Schizosaccharomyces pombe: one gene and its partner. The gene in region 1 interacts genetically with each later gene. Each region holds a gene or a part of one and is shown in the gene's direction. Other genes may lie near its edges.

Evidence for each region.
Region 2: mutations in pus1 (region 1) and spo20 together harm fitness more than expected from each alone (negative genetic interaction), as found in Schizosaccharomyces pombe (one large-scale study listed by BioGRID).

The regions. Positions count from the first base shown.
Region 1 is NC_003421.2:2,118,862-2,123,453, forward strand, and holds pus1 (tRNA/U2 snRNA pseudouridine synthase Lsp1), read left to right. Parts: upstream 1-1,753; 5' UTR 1,754-1,803; coding exon 1,804-2,880; intron 2,881-2,945; coding exon 2,946-3,301; intron 3,302-3,340; coding exon 3,341-3,512; 3' UTR 3,513-3,769; downstream 3,770-4,592. Other genes in the region: Ku domain protein Pku70 , read right to left, coding at 1-34, 109-205, 277-459, 525-557; SAGA complex deubiquitinating submodule subunit Sgf73, read right to left, coding at 3,890-4,341, 4,413-4,592. UniProt on the Schizosaccharomyces pombe protein: Formation of pseudouridine at positions 27 and 28 in the anticodon stem and loop of transfer RNAs; at positions 34 and 36 of intron-containing precursor tRNA(Ile) and at position 35 in the intron-containing tRNA(Tyr).
Region 2 is NC_003424.3:607,073-611,418, forward strand, and holds spo20 (sec14 cytosolic factor family, phospholipid-intermembrane transfer protein Spo20/Sec14), read left to right. Parts: upstream 1-1,896; 5' UTR 1,897-1,919; coding exon 1,920-2,078; intron 2,079-2,126; coding exon 2,127-2,429; intron 2,430-2,456; exon of another isoform or gene 2,457-2,625; coding exon 2,626-2,748; exon of another isoform or gene 2,749-2,770; intron 2,771-2,811; coding exon 2,812-3,087; 3' UTR 3,088-3,631; downstream 3,632-4,346. Other genes in the region: exosome 3'-5' exoribonuclease subunit Rrp6, read left to right, coding at 3,814-4,080, 4,139-4,346. UniProt on the Schizosaccharomyces pombe protein: Required for transport of secretory proteins from the Golgi complex. Catalyzes the transfer of phosphatidylinositol and phosphatidylcholine between membranes in vitro. Essential for viability and secretion.

The DNA.
Region 1 (4,592 bases):
CATGGTTTGAATTTTTCTTTTGAGAATTGGAAATCTTAAACAATTGAACAAAATTAGTAATCAGTGGGGAAAAAGCATGAAAGAAAGTAATCGGTTAAAAGCTTTTACCTTTTTCAAAGCTTTGTAAGCTTTTAATACGTTCAGCATCAGGAGGATCAATGTCTAAAAGCATCATTTGATTTGCGAATCGGCCCGTAGAGGACTCCTGCGCTGTGGTTAGAGACATTTAATGGCAGAAGTAAACGTCGGTGAATTTAAATGCAGCATTAAACTTACAGTACCATAGAGCAATACACCCATTATGTCGCTGGGATTTGTGATTACTCTTTGAGCCGCCAGCTGGTACGCACAAATAAGTGCCATCTGCAAAGAGCTGGGAGTAAATTCATCGACAGGATCAAGCATACTGGGAGAAACTTCAATCACAAATAAAATGGCATATTTTCCAATTGCAAAATTCTTTAAACAATCGTCAGCATAATAATTTCAAAACACCTGCGTCTACCAGTCCATATTGGTCATACTTCTGTCTCATCTATTTGTTCATCGTTTTCCATGTAAAAAACAGATTATCAAAAACAATTTCCTTGGCTTTTTAAATACGACAAAAAGAAAAAAGAAGCACGCGTAATTATAAAAACGCTGATATTTTATGTAAACCGTCCGATGATAACGGCTAAAGCACACGAATGAAATAACTATTTCATTAGTATCTTAAATGTCAAATAATTTAATATATTGATATACCAATATGAGTTATTAAGCACCAATTCCAATATTTGAGAAAAATAATAAAATGCACAATGGTGTCAACATTCTAGTGGGTGTTTTACACGCACTGTGATTGTTGCGAATACGTTAAATTTAAAGAGCTCAAGTAAAGCCGTCGTAAGTTGCAACTAATATTAGTTCGTTATAGTTCATTTGTGTCGGCTACGCAGTTTGGTATCTGATTTAAAGATACGTAGAACTGCGGTGAGTTTTCCTTGTGATCTATTATATTACAATACACAGGTTGTATAAGTAGCAACTGAGTATAGGTATTGTATTAACTGGGTTATAATGTTACCTATCACTAATATAGCTCATAACTGAACTGAGGAACGAGGTTCAGCAGTAGCTCTATTTATAGTATTCAGATAATATACATATTAATAGATTTTAATTAAGATCAATATCAATATCGTATCATACATGGTACGATATATAATTAGAACATGTGACATATAGTGAAACGCAACGTAATATATCATAGCTTAGTGTAGTATTGCTGACAATTTGCGGTTTTGTTCGTAACGTGTGGAAGAAAAAAATAAAAAATGAGGTTTATGAACGATGAAAAGGACTAGATTTTTGATATAAAATTGATAATAGGTATACTTTTCTTAGTTATTGGAAGGATTAGTCACGGGTTTCAATTTGGCCTTTACTTCGACAACTGGTAACAAAAGATAAAACACAGAGACAGAGAATAAGCAACAATTAATAGTCAGTCTTAAGTCATTCCTTTTTCAGGCTGATTATTTTTTTTTGGTTTGAATGCTTCATCAATCTGTTTTTGCTCGAAATGCGATACAATATTTAGCTTTTTAATTCTTAAAACTTTTAACTTAAGGTAAGCGAAGTATATTGTTTTATAATTGTTTAGTGAACCATCGTGTAATTATACTCTTATCTTATTGAATGAATAACGATTCCTTGCATTTCATTATTAAGAAAATATACTCTACTATGTTTAAATGAATTTTTACCTGTGCAGCGTAAATTGCGTTTTCATCAAAAACAAATAATATTAACTACAGCATGGGACGTGGTGGTAAACGCACTTGGTACAATGGTGATCGTCGAGAAGCGAAAAGGAACCGACCTAATTCTATATACAATGGAGAAGGTCGGCCAGAGAATTTGGTAGTTGGAGAAAAAAAGCCGAAAAGAAAGGTCGCCTGTCTTGTAGGTTATTGTGGTAGCGGATATCATGGTATGCAATTGAATCCTCCTAGTAAAACAATCGAAGGAGATCTTTTTGATGCTTTTGTGAAGGCTGGTGCCGTTTCTTCTTATAACGCTGATGACCCAAAGAAAGTTGCTTTAGCAAGAGCCGCAAGAACTGATAAAGGAGTTCATGCCGCTGGAAATGTTATCAGTCTCAAACTTATAATGGAAGATGAGAAGTTAATTGAAAAAGTGAACGAACACCTCCCTCCTTCCATTCGCTTATGGGATGTGATCCGTACTATTAATTCTTTTAACCCAAGGACTTATTGCGAATCTCGTATATATGAATATATGGTTCCAACGTATGCTTTTGTTCCACCGAAACCTTCGTCCATACTTGGAAATTGCATTATGAAGAATTCTCCCATGCCTGCTGAGCCAATTAACAAGGAAAATATAAATCAACTCAGTCGTTCATTATTTTATGAAGAAGGAAAGGAATTTTGGGATGATTATGATATTGCAGCCAAAGAGATTTTGAGCCTTTATGAACAGGATCCTGAAGGCTTCGTAAATCCATATTCTAAAAGGGGAGCTGCTGCTCTTGCTAATTCGGAAAATAATAAGGGCTCTGAAGCAGGAGTTTCCGCTAAAACTAATCCAGATATGGATTCCGATTCCTCTGCTATTGTAAACGAGTTTTTAAAGCCTGACTCTGTTGAAGACGAATCTGCTGGTTCCAAGATTGATCCCAGTTATCGTCTCGAACGTGCACTTAAGCACATTGAAGTACTTAAATTAAAAAATTACCGTATTTCCGCAGATAGGCTGTCCGTTATTCGAGAAACTTTAAACCAATATGTTGGAGTTCATAACTTTCACAATTTTACTGTGGGGCAAGCATTTCATCAGAAGAATAGTAATCGCGTGATCCGTTCTTTTACTGTAAGTAAGAATTATCTTCTTTGTATTTATAGTATTCTTGACAAGTCTTGTTTCTAACATTCTAGGCATCTGATCCATTCATGATTGGCGATACAGAATGGATTTCATGTAAAGTTCATGGTCAATCTTTTATGTTGCACCAAATTAGAAAGATGATTGCGCTTGCTATTTTAGTTGTACGAACGGGTTGTCCTGTTGAGCGCATACAAGATGCCTTTAAAAAAACAAAAATTAACATACCCAAGGGACCTGGTTTTGGACTTTTATTAGAGTCACCGTTTTTTAAAGGTTATAATGAACATAAAGCTCCAGAGAATAATCGTGATCCTATCGACTTTACAAAGTACGAGCAAAAAATTACTGCTTTTAAGCATGCTCATATTTATGATAAAATTTTTCTCGAAGAAGCTCGTAAACAAGTGTAAGTATATTTTTTTCTTAAATTAACTAACCGGTTTAGATTTCATTGTTTTTTGTCTTTTATTGACAGTTATAATGAAGAAGATTTCAGTTATTTATCAGATATAGGCATTACTGAAAAGACGCAAGAGGTTTCCTCAAAATTGCCTGATGTTCTTTCTAGCGATGAAGAAGAAGATTCGGCTGAAAACAAGGATGATTTAGAGGGCTAAAGGATTGATTGTGAGACTGAGGATTTGCAACAAACTGATACCATAAACTTTGCTGTTTCTTTTAAAAAATTAGACTACAAACGTGTACATATATTTTTGGAGAATACTTGTTTCTTTCTTTTTTTTAGAATTGATTATTGGTTTTGGGTTCTATTGGTATTTTTATAGTTTATTAACTTCTACTTGATTATTCCAAATGTTAAGACCGTATGGTGCAATATACAAAATAAAAAATGAAAAAATTAATGAAATAGAAACTAGATGAACGGAGGAGAAAATTAAAAAGTCGAAAATGCGTGGTCAAGTAGACCAAAATGTAAACTATAATCTCATAAAGAATTTAAATCATCAACCGAAGCAAAATCAAAAGAATTTCTTTATAGTGGTTGGCGGGCACTAAAAGGAATCACTCGTCCCAATATAGTACCAGTAACTTGCATACCCTGCTCACCATGTCGAAATGCAGCAGCTATTAACTCTCTAGTACGAAAATACGAATGGCGACGTTTTACGGGTAAAAAAACTTTTTGCTCCAAAGGCTGATTGCCAGATTTCTGGAGAACATTCATAATGAAACTGACTTCTTCATCAGAATCAACAGGCGCTTGATGCTGATTATCTTCGGATTCTTTTGCAGTTTCGAGGATTTGTCGTTGTATTTTTACTTGGTTTTTCTTTTGACAAGCTGCAAGCAAAACATCGTATGGCTGAGATCTTCCCGGAACGGCTCGTTTGCTTGACATTGAATGCGTTTTACATGTGAGAGATCTGGCGCACATTTGCCCATTAGGAAGCAAAACACCGCATTGCTTTTCAACATCCACAGGACCTTAATTGAATGTTAGTATTAAAGTAAACAGGTACTCCATTCTCCATATTGAACAGCATAAACCAACATACCTTTGACCTTTGGATTCTTCTTCTTGCTAGCCTCTTTCTTGGGAAGGGCGGATTTTGTAGGCTTTTTGTTTTCTTCTGTCTTCCGACGTTTTGGAGGCATTTCAGGATTCTTTTGACCATTAACTGAATTCTTTTCATGATTCCCAGCTGAGCCCTTAGCTGTCGATTTAACACCATTTT
Region 2 (4,346 bases), on another chromosome or scaffold:
ACAGAAAAAGTAAAAATTTCACACTCAACCAAATGTGTAAAGAGTTGGCGATTAAAAGGAAATTTATGCAGATGGTTTTCTTCCAACTACCTTTATTTTTTTTTCTTCTTCACAACTTTATGTCTTAGGTAGAAGATACGGCGGAGTGGTACTAAAATTGCATCCTTTAAATAGATGAAAAATTAAGTTGCCACTCAAATGAATGGAACTTCGGGCTTTTCAAAACCACCGCCAGGGAAATGACATGAAAACAATTTTACTATCCCGAAATTTTCTTTTTTTCAGCTTCTGCACTGATAGCATAATCGTTTCCAAAACAAACTGTAAACTAAATTTTCATAAAAGCAGTAAATTTTCAAACTTGGAGATATCGGGGTAGGGTTACCGTTATTGCAGTTCAAATAACCATTGCTATTATTTAATATGTATAAAAAAACCATGTAGTAATAGACTCGTGTGCAAAGTACACTTCAGCTGGGTTTGAGGTGCAAGGTTGCCAATTAAGAAACGTAGTACTGATTCTTTTCACCTCTACCATACTTATTCAATGTTAAATGCTTATAACATTGATATCCACGGTTTTCATCCTATATTCAAACTATGCTTCCTGCCTTTAGTAACAAGCTTGCGTAATGCATTGTTTCCTGCATTTATTCGTTTGTTAAATTATAACGATATTTTGACGATTATACTATCCTTCCGTAACGTTAATATAATAATCAAAAATTTATATTGTTATAGGTCTTTAAAGGTAAAATCAATGTAAATAAATGTATTATTGCTAACATGTAGAAAATTTGATACTAACTTGAAAATTTTATGCAAGTACAAAATGGACTGTCCATTCAAGCAATGCCTTTCACTCTTGTATGTTTTGTTAAACTTTGCGTGGAAGAAACGCTTTCAAAATTATGGCTGAAGTTCGATCGAAAGAGAAGGAAACAATAATTACGTTTGCGAGACAAAACTAGTTTTTAAAAAAATTTTGTATATATATTTAAGTGGCTGTTAGTCTAATTATTATTTATTTTATTCATTCTTTAGATTTTATTTTATTTTATTTTTTATGTCGTATAGTATTACTTTATTTACGTTTCAATATGTATTTTTTGTTAAATTGCTTATTCACGAAATATTTTTCCATTTGCAATAAAATTTCTTTTCCTTTACTATATTTGCTTATTTAAAGTTCTTTTTTAATCACAACTCTATGACAATTTTCTACTCCTCATTTATAATACGAAAACTGAACAATCATAAAATTGAACTGTTTTACTTCACATAAATATCCAGCTACGATACTCCTATACCGTTTTTACATAGACAACAATCTCAAAATCGCAATATGATCATCCATTTACATATTCTATACTCTATGTACTATAACGCTTCTTAGTGCCTGGTTTACTCTTTCAAAGCTGTCAGGTGCATAAATATTGATGACAGAAAATCACCACAAGCGCACTCAAAGGCTTAAATAAAATAAACATTATCTATCGTTCGTTTTTTTTGGTAAAGAAAAAATGCTTCCACAAAGTTAAATTGTCACTTTTTCCCCATGTTTTATTTACCTTCAACGCCTCGTTGAAGGCCATTCTGCATCTCAAATTTGTCGCACTTTTCATGCAAGTTGAAAAATTGGTTATACACAATTTAAACCTCATACGAGGAGCTTCTTCCTCTCATCTGATTTTTAACACTGAAGTTTATCCTCATACTCACATATAACAATAGCGTTGGGTGTAGCATGGCAACAAAGGTTCCTGCGGTAGTAGGTAAAAGGCCCCCACGCTTGACTGATCCCCCACGGCTGATGACCACTAGTATTAAGGTCGCTGACGTTCTTCCTTTTCCTTTATACATCTTGTACAGACTGGGTCATTAGGTCTTCTCTCTACAACCATCGTCTAAACAAAAAGATGTCAGAAACTATATCGGATCCTTATCCTCTAACTAATCCAAATGCTCCATTAGGGCACCCAGGGCATTTGAATTCTACACAGCAAGCTACGCTAGATAGCATGCGTTTAGAGTTACAAAAACTTGGATACACGGAAAGATTAGACGATGCCACTTTAGTAAGTTGTACAGCAGGAAACTTTGTGTTTGTACTAATGGATTCTTAGTTGCGTTTTTTGAGAGCCCGTAAATTTAATTTGCAACAGTCGCTGGAAATGTTTATTAAATGCGAAAAGTGGAGAAAAGAATTTGGTGTTGATGATCTTATCAAAAACTTTCATTATGATGAGAAAGAAGCCGTTTCCAAATATTACCCTCAATTTTATCATAAAACTGACATCGACGGCCGTCCGGTATACGTTGAGCAACTCGGTAACATTGATTTGAAGAAGTTGTACCAAATCACGACTCCCGAGCGTATGATGCAAAATTTGGTTTATGAATATGAAATGCTTGCTTTAAAACGGTTTGTAAGTAAATTCAAATGATTAAATGTATCTCCAGTAATTCTCATAATCAAACCTTTCCTTTGGATTTGCATATTCCATATAAGGCTGGTTTTTCGGCTTTTTAATAGAAAAACTTTTGGTTTTCTACTGTGTTGAATTTTTTGTGATATATTTTTTCATTTTGATATTTCTTTTCATCTTTATTAACCGTCTTCAGCCCGCTTGTTCTCGTAAAGCAGGAGGCTTGATTGAAACTTCGTGCACAATCATGGATCTAAAGGGTGTTGGTATTACTAGTATTCACTCGGTTTACAGCTACATTCGTCAAGCATCAAGCATTGTAAGTTGAAAATGTTGAAATTTTTGTTCTTTTTTTTTTTTTTCAAGTATTAACACGTTAAAGAGTCAAGATTATTACCCCGAAAGGATGGGCAAGTTTTATGTAATTAACGCTCCTTGGGGATTCTCTTCTGCCTTTAATCTTATCAAAGGTTTTTTGGATGAGGCAACTGTCAAAAAAATTCATATTTTAGGCTCAAACTATAAGAGTGCTCTGCTCGAACAAATCCCTGCTGATAATCTTCCTGCTAAACTCGGTGGAAACTGCCAATGTCCAGGTGGCTGCGAACTATCTGACGCCGGTCCATGGCATGAAGAACAGTGGATGAACAAAAATTAGACTTCTTTCTCCGAACGGGATTTAATTGCTAGAATAGATGAATGTGGTTTGTCCTTTGATAAGAGTAATAGTGTGTAGAGTTTTTGCCGATCTTTCAACTTTGTTCTGCGTTTTAGTTCTTAAAGGTCTTCGTTCTATTTTTACTCAGCATCTCAGGTACTTCCTTCTACTTACGGTTTACTATTCGACGAAATTATCGTATATAGATCGAAGCATATATAAATATTTTATTTCGAAAGTCATGTGTTGATCCATCATCAACATCATGGGATGGTTGCTGTTACAATTCTTAATCCTTATAGAAGGTCTCAATACATATATCGTTCATTAATTTTCCAAAAAAGGACGCTCGATGATCCAACTGATTTGATTGTTTCATCCATTCTAGATTATCCGAAGTTTTTAAATTTGTAATTCATCTACTTTGATTATTTTTTTACTTTTTGATCAAAATTGAATGCCTATATTATAAAAGACCTCTCTATAGTTGCCTGCTAATAGTTTCACAATTTTGAACTAATCATAAATAATTGCTTTTACATAATTCTGCTAAGATTTTGCATTTGTGTAAAATATTTTATATATATAAAAATAGCTCTTGTATTTCGTACTTTAACGATGTCTATATTCAAGTTCGGTAATTCGTTGAGCGTGTGGTAAAAGTGCTTGAAAATTCCTGAACCAAACCAAAAACCTTACTGATCCAGTAGGGTAAACAATAGCATAATGGATGAGTCAGAATTGTTTAAGGGTTTAATGAATAGTACAGCCTATTGCTCTGAATTGGCAAAGGTTGATATACCGTTTTATAAATCAATTGATACCGAATTCAATGAAAACATAAAAAGTGTTTCTTCTCGTTTTATGAGATTAATTGAATTGCTTCTTTCTAAAGTAGACAGAAGTCGGGCGGAGGATATTGTGGACGTTGAAGATATAGATAATAGATGGGCAGAAGTATCGGACACATTAGACATACTCTTTGAAAAAGCTGTAAGTGAATTTTTGAAATTGTAAACGGATTTTATTTAACTAAGACGTATGAATATAGGACTATTCTATCGATAAAGCTCAAGGACTTTTAAAAAAGCCAGCGATCGAAACCCATGCGTCGACAAGCGATGTTGCCAATAAAAAACCAAAGAAAGAAAAGTTGCCCTACAAGGTTATTCACGCAGCTCATCTTACTAAGCCTCAATTAAGGTTTCGAGTACAGCCTAATAATTCCAGGGAGTTTGTGTGGTCTTGGAAGTTAACTG